Coturnix japonica: one gene and its partner. The protein of the gene in region 2 interacts with the protein of the main gene of each other region in a biochemical or structural test. Links are inferred from orthologs where the notes say so. Each region holds a gene or a part of one and is shown on either strand. Other genes may lie near its edges. The genes, in order: STX1A and STXBP5.

Region 1 (12,014 bases), on a different chromosome or scaffold from region 2:
GGTGGGGAGGGCACGTGTCACTCCCACGAAGTCACTGCGGGCTGCATGAGGGCACCATCTGTCCCAGCCACGTCACTGGAAGCACCCTCTGTGCTGCGCCACGTCCAGCACGCAGCGCCCAGCTGACTGCCCAGCCCCAGGGACAGGAAGGAGCAGCAGCAGCCCCTGGGTACCTGCGAGGCTCAGGAGGGCTCTGCAAGGACAGAGCTGTCCCCAGGTGAGCAGAGCACTCCTCAGCTCCCAGCGATCTGCAGCAGCACAGCTTGGAGCACAGGTCACACCTCGCCCTGTCTCACTCCCGCAGCACCGCACTGCAGGCACTGTCACCCCAGGGCTGAAGCAGCTTCCCTTACACTGCTGCCAAAACAGACACAAATCTGAGCAAACTGCCCCACGGAAACCTAAGCATCGTCCCGAGGGGCAGCATGTGGATTCCTCACCAAGAGCTGCGGCAAAAGATTTCCCAGTGTGGCCACCCCATGTTCCCAAAGCGGTTGTCAGACACGTGCAAAGCTCTGGTCTAGGTCCAAGCGGGGTCAGCTCGTCAACACAATAGCCCCAGTGACATGCAGGGAGCAGCTGGCGCAGGAGGCAGAGCTGCACCACAAGGCTCAGCAGGGCTGGGGAGGGCGCCCAGCACCCCACGCTTCCCAGCGTTTGGTAATGGGGACGCTGCTAATACATTCATAGTGAGCAGGTTACATCCCTCTGCTTCCAACAAGCTTCATTTCTGAAAGATGGCTGAGAAGGACAAACCCACTGAACAAGCTGGAAGCCTGCTGCTCCACACGGAAAACCAAGAGGCAGCAGGCAGGGAGAGCTGTGACATGACGGTAACAAGGTCTCTATTATCTCTGCAGCAGTCACACGCAAACTCATCCCCTGCTCTGTGCCGTGAGCGCTGCAGATCGATTTCACCGCATCCGGATGCATTTGAGGAGCCAGCAGCAGAACCTCACAAGGCCATGGTGGGCTCAGTGGCCCAGGGGGTGGCACAAACCCACCGGCTGCCCCAGCCATGGAAGACAACCTCCTCCTAGGCAAGGCCACAGTGAGCAACACGCAGCCGGAGTCGACAGCCACCCTGTGCCAGCACAGCTGCAGGGCCAGCACCACGTGCCACCCCGTGTCACCGCAGGAGGTAATGCAAGCTTTATGGAAGCACAGAAGGTCAGAAAACGGCCACAGCAGCACCTACCCCCTTAAGAAGGCCATTACACTGGCTTTTCCCTTGGAAATGCAGGCTGCTGCTCTCCCGTTCTCACTGAACGGACACCTCTGCAGCACAGTCTGCTGAGCTGCACACACATGTCCAAAAACCATTTGGCTCTTCCTGCCTCTGAGCCCAGGAGCCCCCAGAATCCCCTTCAGCTGCCAGAGAGCTCCTGCCACCCTCCGCTGGCTATGCAGCTCCAGCTCCTGGCCATGCACGTCGCTGTGAAGATGGATGAGGTCAGAATAATTCAGTGATGAGCCGCAAGAAAAATCTACTCTCAGCCATCTTAAAAGCCTACCAGCACCACCGCACACAAACAGCAGGCTGCATCCCAGCCCGGCTGCACACACAGCTCTGCCGTGCTCAGGAGCACATGGGCAGGTCACTGAAGCTCTGCTCCATACAAACATGGTTCCAAGAAGCGCTGTATATATATATATATATATATATATATATATATATATACAGTACAGCTAGAGAGCATAATAAATGGAGTATTTCACAGCCCTGGATATCTTATAGCATGTAGGCCATTATTTAGTTATCACAGAAAGGCCCAGGTTGGAGTGAACTGTAAAGACCATCCAGCACCATCCCTGCATGGGCTGAGTGTCCCCCAGCTGAGGCTGCCCACAGCCCTTCTGTGGCCTGGGGCACCTCCAGGGATGGGACACCCACAGCTCTGGGCAGTGTCCACCAACGCCATCACTCCATCACTGAAGGCCGCCAGGTGGGTCAGCCATGCTCTGCCCCTGCTGCAGCTGTGCCAGCTGCCCGACGTCACCTCCTCATCTCCCCTGTGCCCCACGTCTCCTCCGTGGTGCTCCCAGGCACAGAGCTGGGGCTCACGAGGTCGCAGTTCCCCAGACATCCCTTTCCGGAATACGGCAACAATGTTTCCCTTCTTCCAGTCCCCGGAGCCTTCAGCTGACAGCCACAACATTTCAGATGTGATGGAGAGCAGCTCAGCACCCACACCAGGCAGCTCCCAAAGGACCCTTCTGTTACATCCAATTCCAGCATTACTGAAACCAGCCCGTATTTTGGACCAGCAACTTTTGATGAATAAATGTTGAAGGCAAAACTGACTACTGCTCACCAGCATCCGCGTGAGTCATCACGTGTTTCCAGTTTCCAACACCAGCAGCACAGCAGAGCACAAGATTTCCAGGAGTTTTGTCCTTTAGGTGTTCATTTTCATCATTGCAGAATTACATTACCAACCTTTGGCTGGAAGCCCGACGGCTCTGTCGGAGCTCTGGCCAACTCCTCCGGAGTCTTTCTGGAAGGAGCAATGCTCCATCCCACCCAGCAGCTAAAGGCAGCCAGGTGCATTCATGATGCCACAAAGCCTTCCAGGATACCCCAGTGCTATGATGAGTACCAACAGCTCAGAGCACGGGCTCAGCGTGGCAAGAAGGTGCTCTCCATCCCCCAGCACAGATAAGGCTGAGGTAGGGCTGCAGCTCAGAGCAGCTCTGCCCCACAGACCTCCACCAAGGGACTGTCCCTGCTCATCCTCCCTCAAACACATCCCTGGAAGCATTCAAGGCCAGGCTGGTCTGGTGGTTGGTGACCCTGCACATAGCAAGGAGGTTGAAACTCCTTGACCGTGATCGTTGTGGTCATTTTCAACCCAGGCCATTCCATGACTCTATGAACACAGATTTACTCTGAAACACTGGAGAAATGGAAATGTTCCCCTTCTGCTTTCTCCCACTGCTCACTTCTCTGGGAAAGACATGAAAGCCAGCGCAGCCTACAACACCCACATCCCTCCCATCAGACATTGCCGCCTATAAACACAGTGATGAAATTTCTTGGGTGCTCTCATCTAGATTGTAAAGGAAACAGCACCATCCATGAAAGACATCAGCCCTCCCAGAAGGCAGAGCTGAAATGTCTCCTGGCAAAATGAACATTTGTTTTGTGCATTGCATGCTGCACGTCTGACAGGTCCCACTGGAAGATCTGAAAGCAACAGAAGACAAAAGGAAGGCTTAATGCTAAAGAATTTGTAACAGACATCGCAGCAGAAGCACTGTAGGAAGGGAAACTGCCAGTGCCAGGATGGGAGCAAATTGCAGCACAGGAGGTTCCCCACACCGTCAGGGAGCATTGCTGTGCAGACAGAGGGACCTGAGAGCTTTGGACTTTCCTCTGTTGAGATGGTAAGAAGCTGCCTGGACATGTACATGGGCACCCAATGTGGGTGCCCCTGCATGGACCACATGGATCCAATATTGAGAAGTGGGACCACATGAACCATCTGAGGTTTAACAAGGCCAAGTGCTTGGTGCTGCTCCTGGGTAGGGGCAATGCCAGGTATGTGTTCAGAATGGGGGAAGAACTCCTTGAGAGCAGCCCTGCAGAGAAGGAATTGGGGTTCTGGGAAGGGAGAGCTGACCAGAGCCAGCAGCGTGCAGCCCAGAGAGCTGCCAGCAGCCCGGGCTGCATCAGCAGAGGGGTGGCAGCAGGCAGGGAGGGGACTGTCCCCCTCTGCTCTGCCCTTGTGAGGCTCCATCTGGAGTATTGTGTCCAAGCCTGGGGCTCCCAGCACAAGAAAGACGTGGGGCTGATGGAGCAGGTTCAGAGAAGGGCAAGAGGGTGCTGAGAGGGCTGGAGCACCTCTGCTGTGCTGACAGGATGAGGGAGCTGGGGATGTTCTGCCTGGAGAAGAGAGGAGACCTTGTGCAGCCTCCCAGCCCCTAACAGGGTCTACAGAAATGCTGTGTAAGGACTCTTTATCAAGGAACACAGTTAGATGACAAGAAGTTCTATACTAAAAGAGAGGAGATTTAGGTTAGATGTGAGGAAGAAATTCTTCACCTAGAGAGGTGCTGCGCCGCTACCCTGAGCTGTGGGTGCCCCATCCCTGGAGGTGCCCCAGGCCACGATGGACCCTGGGCAGCCGCAGCTGGGGGGCACCCAGCCCATGGCAGAAGGGGGCGGGGGGAGCGTTGAGGGGTTGTGAGGTCCCTTCCGACCCAACCACGCTGTAACTCCATGACGCAGAGATCCTCGCCTGCCTCAGCCGCTCTGCCCCACCTCGAGCAGCTGCTGAAGACAGCAGTCCTGCCTGCAGCGGCTCTGCAGCCCTTCCATCCCTCCTGCTTCAGAAACGGCTCTCGCCATGTTTCTGTACCAATGCTCTCCTTCCTGGCCCAATGCCTGGGCTGGTATTTACAGCACACGCTTGTTTCTGTTTCCTGCGCCGCACCGCTCCATTTGCTGTCCGCTCTCCATGGCTTTGCTCTGAGGGTGACCCCACGGCCGCTGCTCAGAGGACGCTGCCTGCACCCACTGCAGCTGCTGGGGCTGGCGCTGGGGCTTCCCTCCTCCTTTTTGTTAGCACACATAATTTTCTGGAAGTAGCAATTTATCACAGTACTTAGCTTAATGAGCCTTACTGTACGTATTCTGCCCGTAGTGATCATTTTGCATATTTCCTGAGCAATCTTGTTAGCAGGGAGATACATGGCAAAACAAACATTTGTACAGCTTCCGAGCAGCTCGCACAAAGGCAAAGACACTCACAGTTAAAGCAAGGGCTGGGCTGAGCCTCCATGGCACACGGTGTGTCGCAGCCCTCCAGCACAGCAGCTCAGAGGGGACGTGGTGGGGCGAAGCAGTGACACCCTGCGCAGTGTGCTGCCTGGTGCTGCCTGCAGAGCACAGCTGCTCCCCCAGTGCTCCCCCATCATCTTGCTCCCATACAACACTCCCAGTGCCCAGGCAGGCAGTAGAAGGAGCAGGGCTGAACAACTAACACCACCCTTCAGGTTGGAGAGCGTGAAAGAACTGCACACCACCAAGAGGGTTAAAAAACAAAAGGAATACAGCACTGATATAAGTACATAGATCCATTCCCGGGGTTAACGGCGCCTTCTGCGTACCAAGAGCCGGCACTGTGGGCCACAAGGATGCTCACATGGAGAACAGGGGCACAGGGCTCTGCTACAAAAAGCAACTTTGGTCAACTCTGCTGTAAGCGCGGACCTGAGAGGCATCTCTGCAGCGTTCCCCGCAGCACAGCCCAGCACAGCAGGGACAGACACTGAGCCCACCCAGCACTGCCTGCCCCGAGCACCGCACCACGCAGCTCCTCGTGGGGGGCACAGTTATGGCCCGTCGGGGTGGGCTTTATCCAGCCCCATTGGAAGCCAACAACCAGCAGTCACCGAGGAGCTACAGACACGAACCGCGTTTCCGACTGCACGCAGCCCAGTCAAAGGGGCTCCTCCAGCACTCCCCACCTCACCTCATTCAGGCTCCCCCATCTGACCCCATTCCCTCTCTGTGACCAGCGCTACGCAGGGACAGTTGAGGCGCTGCCCCCAAACGGCGCCGTGGGGCGCTCAGCAGCGGCCCCGCACCACCCGCCGTACCCCGCCCCGCACCGCCCCTGCGGGCACGCGGTGCTGCCACGGAGCGGGGATCTCCCGCAGGAGAGAGGCGAAATCGCGCCCTGATGAAGCTCTTATTTATTTATTTATTTTGTTGGTTTTTTTTCGTCTTCCTCCATCTCACGTCCAACACGCAGCGGAACACGGAGATGCTCCGGCGCTCCACGCACCGTCAGCGCCGCTCCGGGCGGACATGGGCGCGGGCCCCGCAGGGAGGACAGAGGCACGAGTCGGTCCGCTGTCACCGAACAGACATTTCCCAGCACGGACCAGAGCCGCGAAGGGACAGAGACAGAGACAGAGACAGAGACAGGGACAGAGACAGAGACAGAGACAGAGACAGAGACAGGGACAGAGACAGAGACAGGCGCAGGGACAGCTCCGCGCTGCGGGGCCGCAGCGTGACATCAGCGGAGCGATGAGAACCGAAGCGCAAAATGGGCGCAGGGGCCGCGGAGAGACACGACCCGACCCGGCCCCGCAACGCCCCGCACCGCAACGCCGCTGTGACCGCGAGGAGCGGCGCCGACCGCGGGGGGAGCGCGACGCAGAGCAGCCCCCATCCCATCCATCCATCCCATCCCATCCCATCCCATCCCATCCCATCCCATCCCATCCCATCCCATCCCCTTCCCATCCCATCCCCTTCCCTCCCTGTCTGGGAGCGCCCCGCATCCCGCACTCACGGCGCGCAGTTCCCCGGTGCGGTCCTTCATCGTTCCCCGCTCCGAACGGCCACGCGGGGGGGCGGGCGGGCGCGGCACATGCGCGCAGAGCGGCGGAGCGGCGCGGAACGGCCCCGCGGCCGGCTGGGAGCGGCGGGGGAGTCACGTGGTGGGGGCGGCACCGGGGGAGGGGGCGGCACGCGGGGGGTGCGGGGCGGTGCGGGGGGAGAAGCCGCCCCCGGTGCCGCCGCCCCCGCGGCGCTGCCGGTTACGTGACGTGGCTGCGGAGTCGCCGCCGTCCCGCCCCCCCCCTCCCCCGCGATGGGCTTTTGTCCTCCGCCGGACGCGGCCCCGCTCGGGGCGTCCCGGCCCCGGGGGCGTTTCTGAGCGCCCCGATTTACGCCGCGTCTGTCTGCGCTGAGCGCAACCCGGGCGCGGCGCTGCGGACGAGGGGCGCATCCCTGCCCGCACTGCTGGGCTGTGTGCGGGGCTGTGTGTGTGCGGGGCTGTGTGTGTGCAGGGCTGTGTGTGTGCACGGCTGTGTGTGTGCGGGGCTGTGTGTGTGCGGGGCTGTGTGTGTGCGGGGCTGTGTGCGGGGCTGTGTGCAGGGCTGTCTGTCTACAGAGCTACCAGGACGTGCTGCCGGCTCGTGCCGCTCCATCCTTCCAGCCCCCATGTCCCCACGTCAGCACCTCCCCCATCTCGGCTCCGCGGCCTCAGCCCCCCCCATGGTCGCGCAGCGCTGTCCCCCCACCCTCCCCAGACCGGTACTGCCGCCCCCCGAGGCGCAGCGGCGGATCCCGCAGCCGGGCGCAGCCGCACGTCGAATAACGGAGCGCCCGGGGAGGGCCGCGCCCGGCACCCGCTGTGCCGAGGGACGCGCGGTGCGATGCCGTCCTCTGCCCGGGGCACCGCGGGGCGGCCGGGCGCCGTGAGCGACGTGCGGGACAGTGTGCGGGGGGAAAACGCGACGCCGAGAGCTGCGGGCGGTGAGGGAAGGATCCCGTGAGTCCAGAAGGGCGTCCGTGCGGTGCGAGCAAAAGGGAAGAGCTGCGCCCCGTGCCTACAAAACATCTGGGAGGGACGATCTGTGGTCTCCATCTGTCTCCATCTTCGTTTCAAGATCAGTTGAACAAACATCTCTCGGGGCGATTTGGGGTGATCTGAACTGAGCCGACACACGGATCCATCTGGATCCCCCCAGGGGTGAGGACACACCGCGGGAAACGCACCTTCCCACTGTCCTCATTCCCACAGCTCTGCGAAGCACAAACCCACCCGGACACCCGAGCAGGAATCCCTCCCACTGCAGAAATCCTCACAACCATTTGGAGAGTCAGATTTTATTTTTTTCCGGCATTTAAGACGCTGTGAATTAATCACAGTCCGTCACCGCGTCAGCCCCATCTGATTTCCTGCGCTGCCCGAGCACGAGGCCGCGCCAGGTGGGAGGATTCAAAGACCTGCGTAAGGAGCCTCGCCCGAACCAAAGCGGTTCCGAGGCCGAAGGAGCCGTTTCTCTTCTGACCGGTCCGACGCACTGTGCCACCTCTCCGCGCAGCTCCGCTCTGACGCACGCTGAAATGTCGGGTTTGGCTTCAGAGAACGCAGGCGGCGTCTCGAAGAGACAACGAGCATCACGGGCGGCGGGCAGAGCCGGCGCTGCTCACTCACCTCGGCGCCACGAGCGGCCACGAGCGGCCACGAGCGGCCTCTCCCTCCCCACGCACCGCAGTGACCCATCTCGGCCCGCCCCATCCCGCCCGGAGCCGCAGCACCGCCGAGCCCGCAGAGCCGGCCCGCAATGCCGCCCTCAATGCCTCCCGCAGGACCTCCCGCAATGCCGCCCTCAGTGCCGCCCGCAGCACACTCGCGGGGCCGGGATGGGCCGGAGGGACGCGGCAGCCCCGCTGGCACATCGCGCTTTGAGGTTCTCGCACCCCTCGTCTTCCTCCGTTGAGTAAAATCTATTGCCGGGATCTGGCGGCGCTGCAAAGCCGCCCCCCCCCGCCGCGCAAATGACTCATTTCCAGTTTGTTCCGTTCTGTTCACGCCGGGATCTCCGAGGGCTCCGCTCTTCATCCTACGAGCCCAGCCAACTGCCCGCAGCCTTTTCGTCCACCCCGCCAACCTCTCCGCCCTCGCCCTTTGTGCGTGACGTCTATTTAAGGAGCAGCCCGCGGGGCCCCGGGCGCCTTCAGCCCCGCACAGACCGCAGCCATCAGCGGGAGCGCGGCTGAACGCAGCCTCCGGCAGCGCCCCGCGGGGCAGCGCCGCAGCAGCTCCGCCAACGCCGCGGTCCCGGCGGCAGCAGCCGGTGATGCTCGGGAAGCAGCTCCGTGCTGCAGCCGTGGCACTACCGGGGGCTGCTCCCCTGCCCCGCCGCCGCCCCCCCAGCCGCTCCCAGGGCGCCCCCAATAACGGCTGCCGTCCCTCCCCCCCGACCCCCAAAGCTCCCGGCCCCTCCTGTTGACTTTCAAATCCACCGAGGCGCCGTTTTGAGTTTTGCTCTCACGTTTCTGTGAAATTGAGGCCTTAACTTCTAAACTTGTATTATTGTGTACACTTCACTGCAGCTGCACAGCCTCACTGCTCAGCCCACCAGCAACACGCACAGGCTGAGGGGGCCCATCACAGGGGTCTGTCCTGTGCCACCCCAACAAAATGGACATTCTCAGACCTGCGAACTCAGACCAAATTTGGTGCCTCAGTCTTATCTGCCACATCACATCAACCAGCATGACTGGAGAGCTGACTCATCCACCCAGTGCTTGGCCAAGGACACTGCTGCACTAACAGGCCATGCTACCTCATCTCGGCTGGCGGCTCTTCTGCCAAAAAGGAGGGGTAGCAGGTGAGGTTGGCAAGCAAAAGTCCTCTTTGTAAGAGCGACAGCAGCCACAGTAAAGTTCACCCCTCGATCCCGAGCCCATCTATGTACTGCATCTCCTCAACAGCCACCCCCTGCTAGGGGCAAACATGGGGAGCAAGAGGAGGAAACCAGTTCCTATTGTGTCCTGCCTGCGAATTCTGGCTTTTCAGATGCACTCAGCCCTGTGTGATATTTTTCTTCCTATCACTGTGGGTCTGCAGGTAGCCCCAGTCCTGTGAACGTGAGACAGGAACAAAAATAGGGGAATAAAAAAGGCTGAGAAAAGAAGAAGAAAGTGAGTAAAAACTGTGTAAACATATGCTTCCCCAGGAAGCAATGCAGTGTATTGCTGAGCTCAAGCAATGAGTTGCAGCTCAGATGAAGAGCTTAACAGTTCAAAGTTCAGCTGCTGTGCAAATGTCACAATCTGTTCTCATCTGCAACATCCAGCCCAGCTCTTCTATGAACTAAAGAGAAGATGTATTTTCAGTTGTATTCCCAAAGTCCTTCTGCTCATCCTTGCAGTCAGAAGAGCCAGAAATTCCACAGATAAAAAGAAATACAGAACAGAACCCTCTTCTCCAGTCTGGCCTCTGTCACACATAATTTCCTTGCTTTGGTTTCCATGCGATGAAGACCCCTCCCTTTCTCTAGGAATGAATCAGTTTTAAATCTCAGGTGGTCAGATTCATTTTACTGAAAACTGACCTAAAGCTTCAAATGCTGATGGTAACTATCAGTAAGTTCACTACTCAGTTAATTAAATCTCAAACAACATTCATGCCCTGACCTTCAACATAACCCTCTTCTTTAAGAAGAAAAGTAAATCTATCAAGTCAAGTAGACTTGAAAATTTTCTCATTGCCTACAATTCAATATTCAAAAAGCTCACGTGTCTCATGTCAGTATTTTAGTCAGCTCAGCAGAAACATGAACAACTGGCTCTAACATCAAGGCCTGGTAACAAAATGCCTTCAAACAGCGCACCTGTGGAAACGATTCTCAGTATGGATGTGCTATAGAGAGACATAGGGCAGCATCTCTGCCCCTGTCTGCAAAGGAAGGGCCTCAAAGAGCTTCAGGGCACTGGGAGCTTCTGTCAGAGAGATGTGGGCTGCCCCCAGGCCAGAGGCAGTGAGGCTGTCGGTCTGTCAGTCTGTCAGTCAGGGTTCTTCCACACACTGGAGGCAGAAGTGCTGATGAGGTCCTGGGGAAGGCTCTCACGGGCCTCCTGCATCCGCCGCCGAGCCCGATGGAAAGCCTCTGCAACACAGCAGGTGACAGCAAGTCAGAACACATCAGACAGCCGCAGGGAACGGGAAGGACAAGTCTGTCCAGTGCACATCACCTCTCAGAACAGGGGTCTCACTAAGTACCACCTGACTGCTGCTGCTCTTTGCTCTGCGCATAATGGATCAGAGACTGACTCTGCACACCGCAGCCACAAGTTATGTTCAGTGCAAGACTGGGCAGCCCAGCCCAGGCTTTGCCCTCATGGACCGAGTATCCCTTCTGACTGCTCAGGGCTGATGCCTCCTCAAATTTCCAGCAATGTCAGGTCAGAACATTTAACTTCTGTTTTAACTCAGAGAGAGCTCACAGTGGGGGATAATTCCACTTCAAGCAATGGATTCTCCTGAAATACCCTGACCAACCTGTAAACAGGAGGTAAAAGTGAGACAAAGGTCCTCCTCGAAGAAGGAGACTGAAGGTCCTACCCAGAACATTGTAGACAGAGCTCTGCTGGCTGAGGCCTCCAAGCCGGTCCAGAACGCTCTGCATGCGATGCCTCAGGGCATTAGTTTCCAGAAAGGCTCTGCACAGAAGTACAGCTCGAGGTCAGGGCTGGAAGAACACAGCACACAACACAGAGCTTGTGCTCACTTTGCTGCACTCACTTGGATTGCTGCAGGCAGTAAAGCCGGAACGTGACATTCCCTGTTGTCTTTGTGCGAAAACCAAAGCGGCTCAGATGCTTTCCCTGCAAAAACAGCACAAGTTAGAGTACCTACAGCCTCTAACCTATTACAGCAGGCTGACCCCAACGAGTGTGCCCCACCAGGACAAGCACTCCCGCAGGCACAGAATCACTCCTTGCACTGCTTCAAACAGAAACTGACGTCAGAGAGACAAGCAGACAGTTCCAGGCTGTGCTGAGGGCAGGACCTGACCACTGGGAAGATACAGTGCTGGGGGAAGGGTTCCATCTTGAGCCCTTTGTTCAGTCTGGGTGCCACAATAGGAGAAAAACATCAGCTTATTAAACAGATTCCAAAGGACAGCAACAAAGATGGTGAGAGGTCTTCTCTAAGAGGCTTGTTGGGCCTCCCAGGGGAGCCACTGGAACATCAAAGCAGCTGAAGTTAGAGAAGTGTTTGGACACAGAACATGCACTTTAGCTGTGGGTAGTCCTGTGTAGAGCAGGGAGCTGGAACTGATAATCCTTTGGGCTCCTTCAAACTTGGGATAATTTATGATTCTTTGATTCTAAGAGCATAATCCACCATTTCCCAGCAAGAGCAACATCCCACAGCTAAGCCTACCTTGAAGGTTGTTGGTATCCTGGCATAGGTCACGTCCTCCAGCTCAGGAGACCCACCGATGAAAAATCTCCTCATCTCAGCAACTGTACCCAGCTCTACAGGGCGCCAGGTCGGGATGGTGAGCACGTGGAGACCTGAGCCAAGACAACAGAACAGTTCAGCAGTACTGTCCGACAGTCATAGAGGACATCATGGTGGACGGATACCTACTGATGAATACCCACTGATTCCCAGGTTTTTCCAATGAGCCCCAGCCACACAGCCAGCACTGACACCATCCCCTTTACTATGTGATGATGTTAGACTAGTTGT
Region 2 (11,914 bases):
TTGTTTTTGGACAGTTGTCTAATCTCCTTTTCATAGGATACATATTTGGTTATATAAATCAGCAAAAGAAAGTGTAGGTATGTGCCTACGTATGATCTTAGGGTTTGTATATTAAAGATTATAAAATGTAGATCTAAGCACAAAGCAAAATGGTTGTTGCCTGGAGCAGCCATCTGTCAAGAGCAGCAAAATGATTCCTTAGTCCATCTCCTTGTCTTGCCCTGGTTGCAGAAAGGCAACCGTGGCTGTAAATGGGGCAGCAATCACTGTCACTGCCGAGGTATTTAACTGTGGCGTTACATCTACTGCTTGAAGTCAGTTGCACCCAGCAGGAGCAGCCACCATCACCACTGCCCTGTTGTACAACTGGAATGAAACAACCAATGTTAAGAATGTTCTCTGTAGATCTCAATCCTGTTGTTTTTGGTTTTTTTTTCCATCACCTGAAAAGTATCATTCATGTAGATGATGTCTGTGATGTCTGGCAATATTGTTTTTCCATCTGTGGCATGGAAAAACTGAATTTTCTGAAACTTGTGAACTGTAAGACATATATGCATTCAAGGTACTTGTTACACCAAGTAATGCTAGTTAAAAAATGATTTAGCTGGTGAAATACTTGTATTTTCTTATTGCTTTTTGAGGCACTTTTCTGTCTAAACACAAGATGGCAGTACTGCTATTTAAATAGGGTCTGGTTTAAGTAGTAATATTTACGTTTGAATAATTGAGGTTTTTAACGAGTTTTTAAATGTAACTTCTCTGCATAACATATTCACAATTTCTAGCCGTGATGATCTTTTAAAAACTCATTTATTTTCTTGTTCTATTAGCATAAATATAAAAAATGCAAAAAAAGCATTTTTTAGTGCTTGCTAAAAAAAAATTTGAAGGGCAGATTTATTTTATCTCCTCAACCTAGTTCATGTAGCTGGCTTTTCACTAATGAGTAGAATGCTAAAAGTGAGGACTGAGTCTTGGAATACAATGCTACCAGCCTGTATTCCATGTTACCTTTTGCCTAAGTAGCTTATTTTTTGCCAACGCCCCCCCCCCAAGTTGTTAAAATCATTGAATTTGAGAAGCCAGAAGCAACCACTGTTGTCTTCAAACTGATTAAATGGTTGCTTATATTCACACATGGGGAAAAAAAACAAAAACAAAGAGCACAAAAGTAGCTCAATTTGTGTGCGTGCTTAAGCTTTTGTTATGTATCTCAGCCTTTTATAATTTACTTGTCCAAAACAAGACATAAGATGAGGAACACTCATCTTGTAATTCACGATTCCAGATGAGGTTTCTTGATCTTTCTTCAAGCTGATGCAAGTTATAGCTGACAGCAGGAAGAAAGATTCCTTGTCGTTATTGCTGCATTGTACCACAGTTTTCTGTATGCACAGCTGAGCACTGATCTGAAGCAGAACTTAATCTTGTTGAGAACAATCCTTGTCAGAAACTTCATTAAGATAAGTTTTGGGCTCATCATTAAGCTGGGCAGCAGCCAATGCAAGGATAAGGGTAGGAAGTATGTATGTAGCTGCAGTGCTCTTTTCAGTTTCTGACTGCATTAGATAGAATATGTTGATGTGCCTAGCGCTGTGGTCTGAGTTCAATTTAATTTGACCAGGATGTGCTTTGTAACAGTGACACATGAAGGAAATGAGAAGGTTATTTCTGGAGACTTACTCTCAAATTTTTATTACATATGACAGGAATAAAACTGTTCAACTATTCAGTTAACTAGACTTTGCAGTATTGATGAGCACAGTTGATGATACAGTGAAATACTTTCATTAATGATGGAGTGGAAATAACTTCGAAACATACACTCCTTTTTGGAATTTGTGGAAAACAATTATTTTTGTTTAAACAGGTAGATAGAATGAGTGAATTCCACTTTTAAATGAGAGGAGCAAAAAGATTCAATCCTGCCTTATGACTGATAAACATTACAAGGTACTCCTTAAACTGAGACTATCCTCAACATCTGTTTTAGGTAGAAAAGTGTTTCCCTTATAAGATAGTGAAGAACTAAACAATGAATCAAAATTCAGGCATGTGGCTAAGAAATAAATTCAAGTTCTATTGTTGGACTACATCATTTTTTTCCATTCTCCAGTAGTTATTGGTGTAAAGATGAAAGGGGGGCGTATGGCATTAAGATTGCTAGTGACTCTGTTTTAGCAGCATGTTGGATACATGCTTTATCTCCACACAGTATTGTCAGAACGTGGCTCTTTTTGAGTGTGACAGGAGTTTGCATGCCACTCATTTTAAAATTCTTCATAACTTCTTCGTTCTTCTAAGATTGCAGATTGCATCTCAGATTACTAGCTTATTTTACACGTGTACATGTTAGAGTAATTAAAATGTATTATTTTCTCCATTTTAAGTATCTCAGGTTTGATCAAGAAGTAGGGCAGAAGTGTGGATGGGATGTGAACTTGATGAAAGTTTCGGCGCACATTCTTGTAGGAGCTGCATTATCTCCTTTTACCTGAAGAGATAAATCTTGAGTTTGAGCCAAAGCAAAATTTATCCAATATATCAAGTTATTTCAGATGCCTAAGGGGAAATGAAGTTTGGCAAAAGTAATAAAATGCTATATTTGGGGATTACAGTAGTTTCCATGTTCTACTTTGCATGCCTCACTTGTGAAAGTGAGGTTCTGCTTTAGCAGAAATCCGGTTAAGTACTGCAGTTAACGTTATAAACAATGATACATTAAATAATTGGGAAGAGGCAAATGAAGGCCAGCAGAATTGTGTTTATTCTTTTTAAAAAAAGGCTATACTTCACTTTTCAGCAAAGATGTCCAGGAAGCTAAGTTTGCCAACTGAGTTAAAGCCTGATTTAGGTAAGTTTACAGAGTTGTATTTTATATTTACTGAAATTGTTTTACAGAATGTGAATACATTTAAGTAAGAATCCTTGAGCATGTAAAATGTCGTGACTGGGTTGCTTTATTTGAACTGTAGAACTTAAATTTTAATTCCACTCATTTGGGGGGTTCCCTGGCACAAAGCATCATTGCTGTCATTGTAAGGTAAGCCTGCAAATCTTGTATGTGGCTTAGCGCGTTTTGGTGATTTTTTTTATTAGGCATCTGTCACTCTTATGGTAGTGCTGTGATAGAAAAAGTGTGAATAAGCAGGTAATTTATTGTAAGGAAAATTGCTTGCCAATTTGAAGCCGTCCAATACTTTTCAAATTGAAACTATACAGTATTTAGGAATGAGGATATACTGAGGTCCATTAAAAGGTTGGACATGTTTTTACAAGTGTTAATGGCATTAAGATCATTTCTATCAATGAAAATGGTGTACAACTGTTTGCTGGATGGATGACCAGTCTGAGAATTTCTTTTTTTTTTTTTAATTACTCTTTTTACATAGTAAGCATTTCATTTATGAAGCTTGTATTGCTAAAGGTCGTGATATTGCATAACTAAAACATACAAACAAATAGACATTTTTATTACTTTGTCATCAAAAGTTGACTGCCAGCTTGTAGATCAGATGCAGCTCCTCAGCTTTTTTCTCTGGAGATGATCAGGGACAGCTGTAGACCCGCAGCAGTAGATGCAGCCTGAGTAGGAAAGCTTCATTTTGCCTCTCACATCTCCCTCCTGCTGCTTCTGCAGCAGAATCCTTTCCACAGCCCCTGTAGAATACAGATCAGGTTCAAACTGGTAGGTGCAGAAACATGCATTTGAAAATTACCACTATCAGCAAGAGAACAGTTGATGATATTGGAATATCCTGAAACTTCAGATTTGGACCACCATGATTTACGTTACAGCTTGCTCCACTCATAGAAATGTGAAGCTGTAAGGAACCCTCAGAGATCATTTAATCCACTGCTGTGGCAAAGATCCAAGTGTCTGACAGTTTAACCTCTCATTGATTCATGGGTCTCCAATAAATAAGTTCCTAAAAAAATACCAGATGAAGTTTATGGTTTATATCCAGTTAAATAAATTTTCTGTTAGTCAGACTGTCTCCCTTATTCCCATACTAATTCAGATTTTTTTCTTGTCCTTTCCACGAGGAACACAGATAACTGTTACTCCATTTGTTTGGTAGACATCTTTGTAGATGCTGAAAGCTACCTACTATCATATCACTAATCTTCATTTTTGCAGTTAGGTTTGAAGTGCTTGGTTTTGTTGCTTTTTTTTGTTTGTTTATTTATTTGTTTTTATGAAATTAAGCTCCCTCTCCTTTGCCAATTTACCTTGACTAAATCTAGTCTTCTGATAATTCTTCTGGACAATATAATTTTTTTCATCTTTCTGAAACTCTTGTGCCTGGATCTAGAAGGATTTAACCATGGCTTTGTTGACACCAATGAGCACAGAAATTCTATTTGTCTTTTCAGTGTCTGTTCTTCCTCACTCCCATCACTGACAGGTTAGGGATGATTTCAGTTTAATTTTGTCAGACTTTGCAAACTGGGATATGTTTGCACAAAAATGTTATTGAATGCTATTTTTTTGTTTGTTTGTTTTTATTTGAAATTCTTCAGTAAATGTAAGTGACTAGAAATAGAATTCAGTGTTTTATGTGTGATTGTTGCTGATTTTTTCTAATAATATAATGGAACCTTTATTTGATCAACTCACTTATTGAGTATTTATAAAGTATCTTTTAACATCTAACTGTAATGATATTTGACTGTTTTTGCTTGACTATACCCACGTGTGGCTATATACACTTAAGTAACACTTTTTGTTCTTGTAAAAGTTTTATTTTCTAGTCTTTAAGTCTGTAAATAACAACCTGAGATGATGATAGTCTGATTTTATTCGGTATTTTTTTCTCCTAGTGGAATAACTTTTCAATAGTGTTCTTCAGTAACTCTCAACTTGATTATATCTTTTGCTTTTTGGTTAATTATGTGACCATATCTACTGGCTCAAGGAAACAGCTGAAATGCCTTTCTCCCAAGTTTAATATCTTCATCATTTTCTCTCGTTTCTTTACATGACTTCTTGAACCTTGACCACTTTCACTCCTTCATGAGTGCTTTCTTTGAAATCACTTTTCTGTCTAGATCTTTAAACTACTCCTTACCTCCCTACGTGGCTAAAACAAAACGTGCTTCTGCATTTATGCTCCAATTTTTAAAATAGAAGTTGTCTTCATCATACTCCAGTCTGCATTATACCACTCCTTTTCACTGCTGTAACCCAGCTGGTTACTGTCATTACCACTAAATCCTATCCTTTGGTTTATTTGCTCAGAAGATCCTCATCTTTCCTTCCTTCTGATGAAGTGGTGTGTAGTGAGCCATTGCACCATTGTTCCTTCCTCTTCATTTGAAAATATTCCATTAACAAACCATAGATCCTTCCGTGACCTCAGGGTAAATAAATACACATTAAAGCAGTCAAACCTTTTACTCCGTTATCTTCTGTGAATCGGTTGTTCACTCTCCACAATGCCTGTATTGTCTGGCCAGTTCGTTTTTGTTGTTGTTTTTTTTCAATACACCTGGAATTTGTATGCATACTTTTCAGATGTTAAAGCAGCTGTAACTGAAGAAATGTGCAAGTTATGCCTGTTGCATTAATTGTATTTTTCTTGGGAAAGGGGGAAGGATCTTACCTGAAATAAGGCATACAGAAAGTGTGTTCCCAGATCTTAAGTCAAAGGAATAGAATTAGAGAAACCACAGGTACCCTGAAGTTCTAGTAAGCTGCTAGGATTTGGGTTAGCTTTTCTTTACACAAAAAGTTTACAGTTGAGTTGCATTTCTGATTCTGAATGTATCAATATGTTCCAGCTTTTGTTTTTTACCTTAATTTGGAGACCACCTAAGCTTTTTTAATCTTTTCAAAATGTGTATTTTAATGTAAGCAAAATTCTGATGTTTAGTGTATTCAGAGTGACTAATCTGTTAAAGTTTAAAAATAAAAAAAATTAAAAAAAATAAAACCTTAAAGAAGCATCTTAAGAGGCTGTGGTCATCAGAAAAATTATAAAACACAAATTATCTTTTTCACCATTTCTAACTTGATTTGACTTCTTTTTCTGGACATTGGTTTTAAATATGTAAACTTTGCATCAGTATCTGAGTGTTGACCTTCTTAATGCTTGGTATTTTATATTTGAACTATGTAAAAGTAAGCAGGACAAGAGTTTTTCTGTCACTGTTGGAGTAAGATGGGTCTCTCCTGAGATATTCACTGTTTTTTGTTTAGATGTCTGTATTCAGTCAGTTGAAATCAAGTTCTATGCTTTTTCAAATGTAAGTTAGATATTTCTTGTAGAAATTTCTGCAATCATTCAATGAAATTACTATTTTGATACTTTAGGTATGTAGTTTAGTGTTGTTCTTTATTAGTCCTGCTTATGAAATGTCGCTTGCCTCCATTCTCCAACCAAAGATCCAAAACAGTAACTTAGTTTTAGGAAGTCATTATGTGATATGCATCAGACTTGTGCTGATAAGGATTGCATTGTGCTAAAATTTTGGAATTATGCATTGAGAAAGTCAAGCATTAATTGGAGAGTGCACAGATAGCTTCAGACGTGCTGATATATTAAGCATTGCCACGTGTGCACACAGCACATGTCTATAATAGAGCAGCGTGATTTCTAATTCGATGATTTTTGTTAGTATATGAATTCACTCTGTTAAGAGAAACTTATTTGCTAAGCAAAGAATAAGACATCCTGAAAAGTTTTGGTGCCACCTTGTACTATATTCAAAACAGAAATCTTCAGCTTTGCATGACAGTTCCAATTGTGTTTGGTGGCCTTGAGTGTTTCTCTGATTGAAAATTCAGGTGTATGTTAATAACCCAAGACCTCCTCTGGGCAGTTTCCTGAAGTGGGACAATACTGAATCATTACAGACTGTCAGTCTGTCTGGATGTTTTGTAGGTCTTAATGTAGTTATATCTTCATTAAATCATTAAATCATGCTTTGTGGAAGCCAGTGGTTTTTAACTTGGTCAATTAGGAAATTACAGACAGGTATGTAATTCACTTGTTTGAGTTTTTCTAAGAACTCTTAATGATTGATAACTGCTCCTTCTATCTTGAGATAAGAAATGTCATGTACTTTTCTAGGGAATGTAGTGACAGGACAAAGGATGAGAGTTTAAACTATATTTAAATAAATAAATAAATAAAGGGTAGATTTAGATTAGCTATTAGAAACTTCACCATGAGGGTGGTGAGGCACTGGAACAGATTGCCCACAATGTGGATGCCCCATCCCTGGAGGCATTCAAGGCCAAGTTGGATGGGGCCCTGGGCATCCTGAACTAGTTGGTGGCAGCCCTGCCTACATCAGAGGGTTGGAACTAGGTGATCTTTAAGGTCCCTTCTATAGTCCATTCTATGATAAGTCATTCATGAAATAACCTGATTGCTATCTCTGCAAATCTGGGATGCCTTGTTCAGGATAAAATAGTGGAAACTGAATTAGAAGGAGCTATCATTAAGGGAAAATAAAATAGTTATAAAAATCAATAGACTGATACATAATATATGTATTCTATGCTAAACAACAAAACCAAAATAAAATCTTAATTTTCTTAATTCCTATATTTAGTTCTTCTAATTAATACTGATTTATTTTCAGATGTTAAAGACAACTCTTTCAGTCGATCCAGGAGTTCTAGTGTAACTAGCATTGACAAAGAGTCACGTGAGGCAATTTCAGCTCTTCATTTCTGTGAGACTTTCACAAGAAAAGCTGATACATCACCTTCTCCGTGCCTGTGGGTCGGTACCACCCTGGGTACAGTGCTTGTCATTGTACTGAACCTACCCCCAGGAGGAGAGCAAAGACTTCTTCAGCCAGTAATTGTTTCTCCTAGTGGTGAGTACAAAGCAGATGGGCACTCAAGAATGCCAAGTATTGTTGTTATTCATGCTTTTTTTAATAAACTTGTTCTCAATTATGGATTAATTGGAAATTAGTATGTACTGGCTAATAGGTTTAACAATCTAGGTTGCTTGCTTTATAACCAGAATTTTAAAGTTGCCAAGTTGATAATATGATCTCATAAAGTATAAAAATATAGAACTATATATGCTGACAAAAGCAGACCTTCTAGCTTTTGTGTAGCCGATGACTATTATTGATCAATGGAGATGTGCATTTTAAGTATTTTCTAATTGCAACATAAGATTTTAGTGAATAGTGGAAAAAATAAGAGCTATATATTTTAATACTTCAAATATTAGTGATGAAATGTTCCTTTGAATTACTGAAATACCTTGTTTTGTTTTGCTGGTACACAGCAACTGATTTTGTTATAATTATATATTACTCTTTTTTTTCAGTGATACCTTAACAAAAATAAAAACTGAATAATACACTGTTAGGAATAGTTTTGCCTTTCTTACTACCACAGTTTCATTACAGAGCATGATGGGTCTGCTTTACAGAAAAATTGCACTCCTGTTTGAAGAAACGGTGTGAACAATATGGTCACTAGACCATGTTTGCATTAACAGTATTCAGATTTGGTAATGTTTTATGTTGAAGGCAAGGCAACAGACTGGACAGTGTGTTGAATCATCAGATCTGCTGCAATACGTATTATTTATTATGCATTTAATAAATTTTTCTGTTACTACTTGTGTGTGACTAAATGAGTGAAAAAAGAAATATATCAGCCTACAATTAAACACAAGCAGTTGAGAAGGAAAACATTTTTGCTTTATGCTAGAGAGAAGTGGATTCAAATGTTAACTATAGGAAAAAAGAAAAAGAAAACAAGTTGCCAGTTTCTGAACCCATTTTGAAGGAAAAATTCTTGTTAATTGCATTTATGGTAGATACTGAGTGCACAGTGCGCTCCTCGAGATAATAAAATGAATTGTGCTTGACACTGGAATTCAATATAAATATGCATTCTGGCTTGGTTCTCCTAATAAATGTATACATTTATGTTGGTGTTAATGGAGTGTATGCATGTATGTATTTAAACTTTGAAAACTGTTTTAATAATTTACTGAATGTACATGCACTTGTACATGCTTCAAGTCCAGAGATTTTAAGTCTATTTTGGTAGAGATAACCCTAAGCTCTAGTTTAGTTTTCATTCTTCTAGCTTGTTAAGGGAGTATTTTTTTTTAGTTTGAATGACAATTTAGGACTGTTTTAGAAATGTTCTCAATTTATATTTCCTAGGAACCATCCTGAGGCTAAAAGGGGCAATCTTGAGAATGGCTTTTCTGGATACTACTGGATCTTTAGTCCCACCTGCTCATGAACCCTGGAGAGAACATAATGTTCCTGAAGATAAAGATGAAAAAGATAAATCGAAAAAGAGACGACCAGTCTCAGTGTCCCCCTCATCCTCTCAGGAAATCAGTGAAAACCAATATGCAGTGATATGTTCTGAAAAGCAAGCAAAAGTTATCTCACTGCCATCCCAAAACTGTATTTATAAGCATAACATAACAGAGACTTCTTTTGTTCTTCGTGGAGATATAGTATCATTGAGTAACAGTATTTGCCTTGCATGTTTCTGTGCCAATGGACATATTATGGCTTTTAGGTAAGACCTAATAGATAGTAATGTATATGAATATATATATGATATGAGTCTCCTGCTAGATGAATTTCTTTCCAGAAGAATACGAATAAAACGGGCATCCAGTTCAGTGTTGATAAACTTCTAGCATCTGCAGCTGAATATTTTGATTACATATTCCTATTAATTTTGCCCTTAGCACGTGAACAAGTTTATCATTTTAAGTCATTACTATAATTCAACAAATAATTCCAAACATGATATAACTGTTGAAAATTGTCTCAACAAGGAATTTACTCCTTGTTGGAAAAACCTGTCCTGAATCAGACCTTTAGCTGACCACAGCTCTGCATATTTTTGTGCAGCTACTGCAGTCCTGTCTGCTTCTCAGTCATGTCTTGAGCTTTCTGTTTTGTTCTGTAGCTTGCTCATGTCTCGAAAGTGAGATTAATTTATAGCAATTCTAGTATTAAAAAATCCATAAATGTATAAATGTGTGAAGAAGTAATTTTGAGGGTACTTGTGTCATTTATTTAATTTTTACCTGTCCTTCTTCTTAAGGGTTTACAAATGCTCTTTTCATTCTGAGTAGTGATGGAGGGTGTGGGGGGAGGGACCTGTGGCAAAGCAGTTCACTCTTCATAGTTTAATCCTAGGAATATTCCTATTTTAGATTTATGCTGGGCAAATGTGTCATCACTGGTAGCGTGCTTACAGAAGAATGTTGCTTTTTATGCTTTTTATTTCTTACCCATAGAGCTTGCCACTAAAGTCATGTTATCTATTCTTCTTCCTTTTCTTTGTGAATCTCCTGCTATCGGACAACACCCAGTCTGTAAAATGCCAGCCTAACATTTAGAAATTTCAATATCACTATGAAGTAGAGCAGAAGACAAGAAACTTAGTTTAGCTTGTATGGTATTTTTTTCTGTATCATTAGTTTCAGTTTCAGTATTCCCCTTTATTGCTTTTTTAGTCTTTTGAAATAAGAATCTTAGCAGCAGAAGCTGCTTAATATATTGATGATAAATTTGCAGCTAGTGTGTAAATTCTATTTTTACAAAAATTTCCTAGGGAGTATTTTTGAGGTATGGGTTCATTTAAGGTTCTGTTTATCAAGACATAAGGCATTCAGTCACTTCTTAGTTGCGTTTAGTATTTCTTTGAGGGAGAGAAATGTTTGGCAGCTTGAGCGTTATTACAGAATGAATGTGTAGCATCTGTTCTTCAGTAGCTTAATGCACTAAGTACTTCAGTAATGTATGCAGAAAACAGAACAAACAAGGTAAGCAAAACAATGCTTTAAGCTGATTTCATTTTATTTAAAGAAACCGTATATTTATACATTTTCTATTTATACAGTCAGATGAAAAAGGGCAGGCATAACTTCACAAGAATGCTGTTTGAGTTTACTGAATTTTCTGTTCCTTTGGAAGCGCTGTCTTTGCATATTTCCCTGGGTTCCTGAGGACAACTCTTGGGTTTCAGTTTTAGTCAAGAAGAAACTTGTCACCTGAGAGAAGAGGCAACTGTATATGAAGGGGGAAAAAAGTAGATATTTATTAAAGAATTTCATTAGTAATTACTGAATAATGCTTTAAGTGTGCCTGAGATTTATGTACTCAGAGTATCATTTAAATAATGCTTTGAAATGCATTTGTGATACAGATGTCTGAGTTTCTCTTTTGAGGTTCTTCCTTTAAGTACTGCATATTTATGTTTGCAGATTTCCTAGTTGTATTAAATGATGCCCTCTTTATACAGTACTTGTATGACCATGAAGAGAAAAATAATGCAACATCCTGTTACATTTCTTTTTTTTTTTTTTTAATTCTTAAGTTTGCCAAGCTTAAGGCCACTGTTGGATGTGTATTACCTGCCACTCACTAATATGCGAATAGCCAGAACGTTCTGCTTCACCAATAATGGACAAGCCCTCTATCTTGTCTCACCAACTGAAATACAGAGGCTCACCTACAGTCAAGAAACATGTGAAAATCTTCAGGTAATGAATAAAACCAAATCTGCTGTCTTCAAGCGTAGCTGTTGTCCAAGTAGTTCAGTTTTAAGTTTACAGTGCTTATTATTATATTTGCCATAAACTAAGTGCTTCAGCTTTTATGGTTTGATTTTGCTCACTGCCAAGTCTTAATCAGAGTGAATCATTTCCCCCACTCTTACATTGTACTGTTATCCATCCTCTTGTATTTGGAATGTGTCTTACTTAGTTTCCTTTTTAGTCTGTATGTATCTTTGTTTAATATGCACAGTTAATAGAAATCTTGTTCAAATAATTTTGTTGGAGGTGTATACGGACATAATTTGGGATTACTAAGATACAAGGAAGCTATTAAGTTGCCAGGATACTAACAATTTGAACAGATTCTCAACACTGCTTCGGCCTGCAAGTTG

Evidence for each region.
Region 1: the proteins of STXBP5 (region 2) and STX1A form a complex in vitro, tested with the Homo sapiens proteins (2 studies listed by BioGRID). The link is inferred for Coturnix japonica from reciprocal best matches to the Homo sapiens genes STXBP5 and STX1A.

What each region holds. Positions count from the first base shown.
Region 1 is NC_029534.1:102,965-114,978, forward strand, and holds the start of STX1A (syntaxin-1A), read right to left. Parts: upstream 6,437-12,014; 5' UTR 6,339-6,436; coding exon 6,309-6,338; intron 1-6,308. Other genes in the region: MKS1 (Meckel syndrome type 1 protein), read right to left, coding at 10,319-10,422, 10,878-10,975, 11,058-11,140, 11,703-11,836. UniProt on the Homo sapiens protein: Plays an essential role in hormone and neurotransmitter calcium-dependent exocytosis and endocytosis.
Region 2 is NC_029518.1:42,453,544-42,465,457, forward strand, and holds part of STXBP5 (syntaxin-binding protein 5), read left to right. Parts: intron 1-2,806; coding exon 2,807-2,857; intron 2,858-7,596; coding exon 7,597-7,836; intron 7,837-9,156; coding exon 9,157-9,526; intron 9,527-11,341; coding exon 11,342-11,507; intron 11,508-11,914. UniProt on the Homo sapiens protein: Plays a regulatory role in calcium-dependent exocytosis and neurotransmitter release. Inhibits membrane fusion between transport vesicles and the plasma membrane.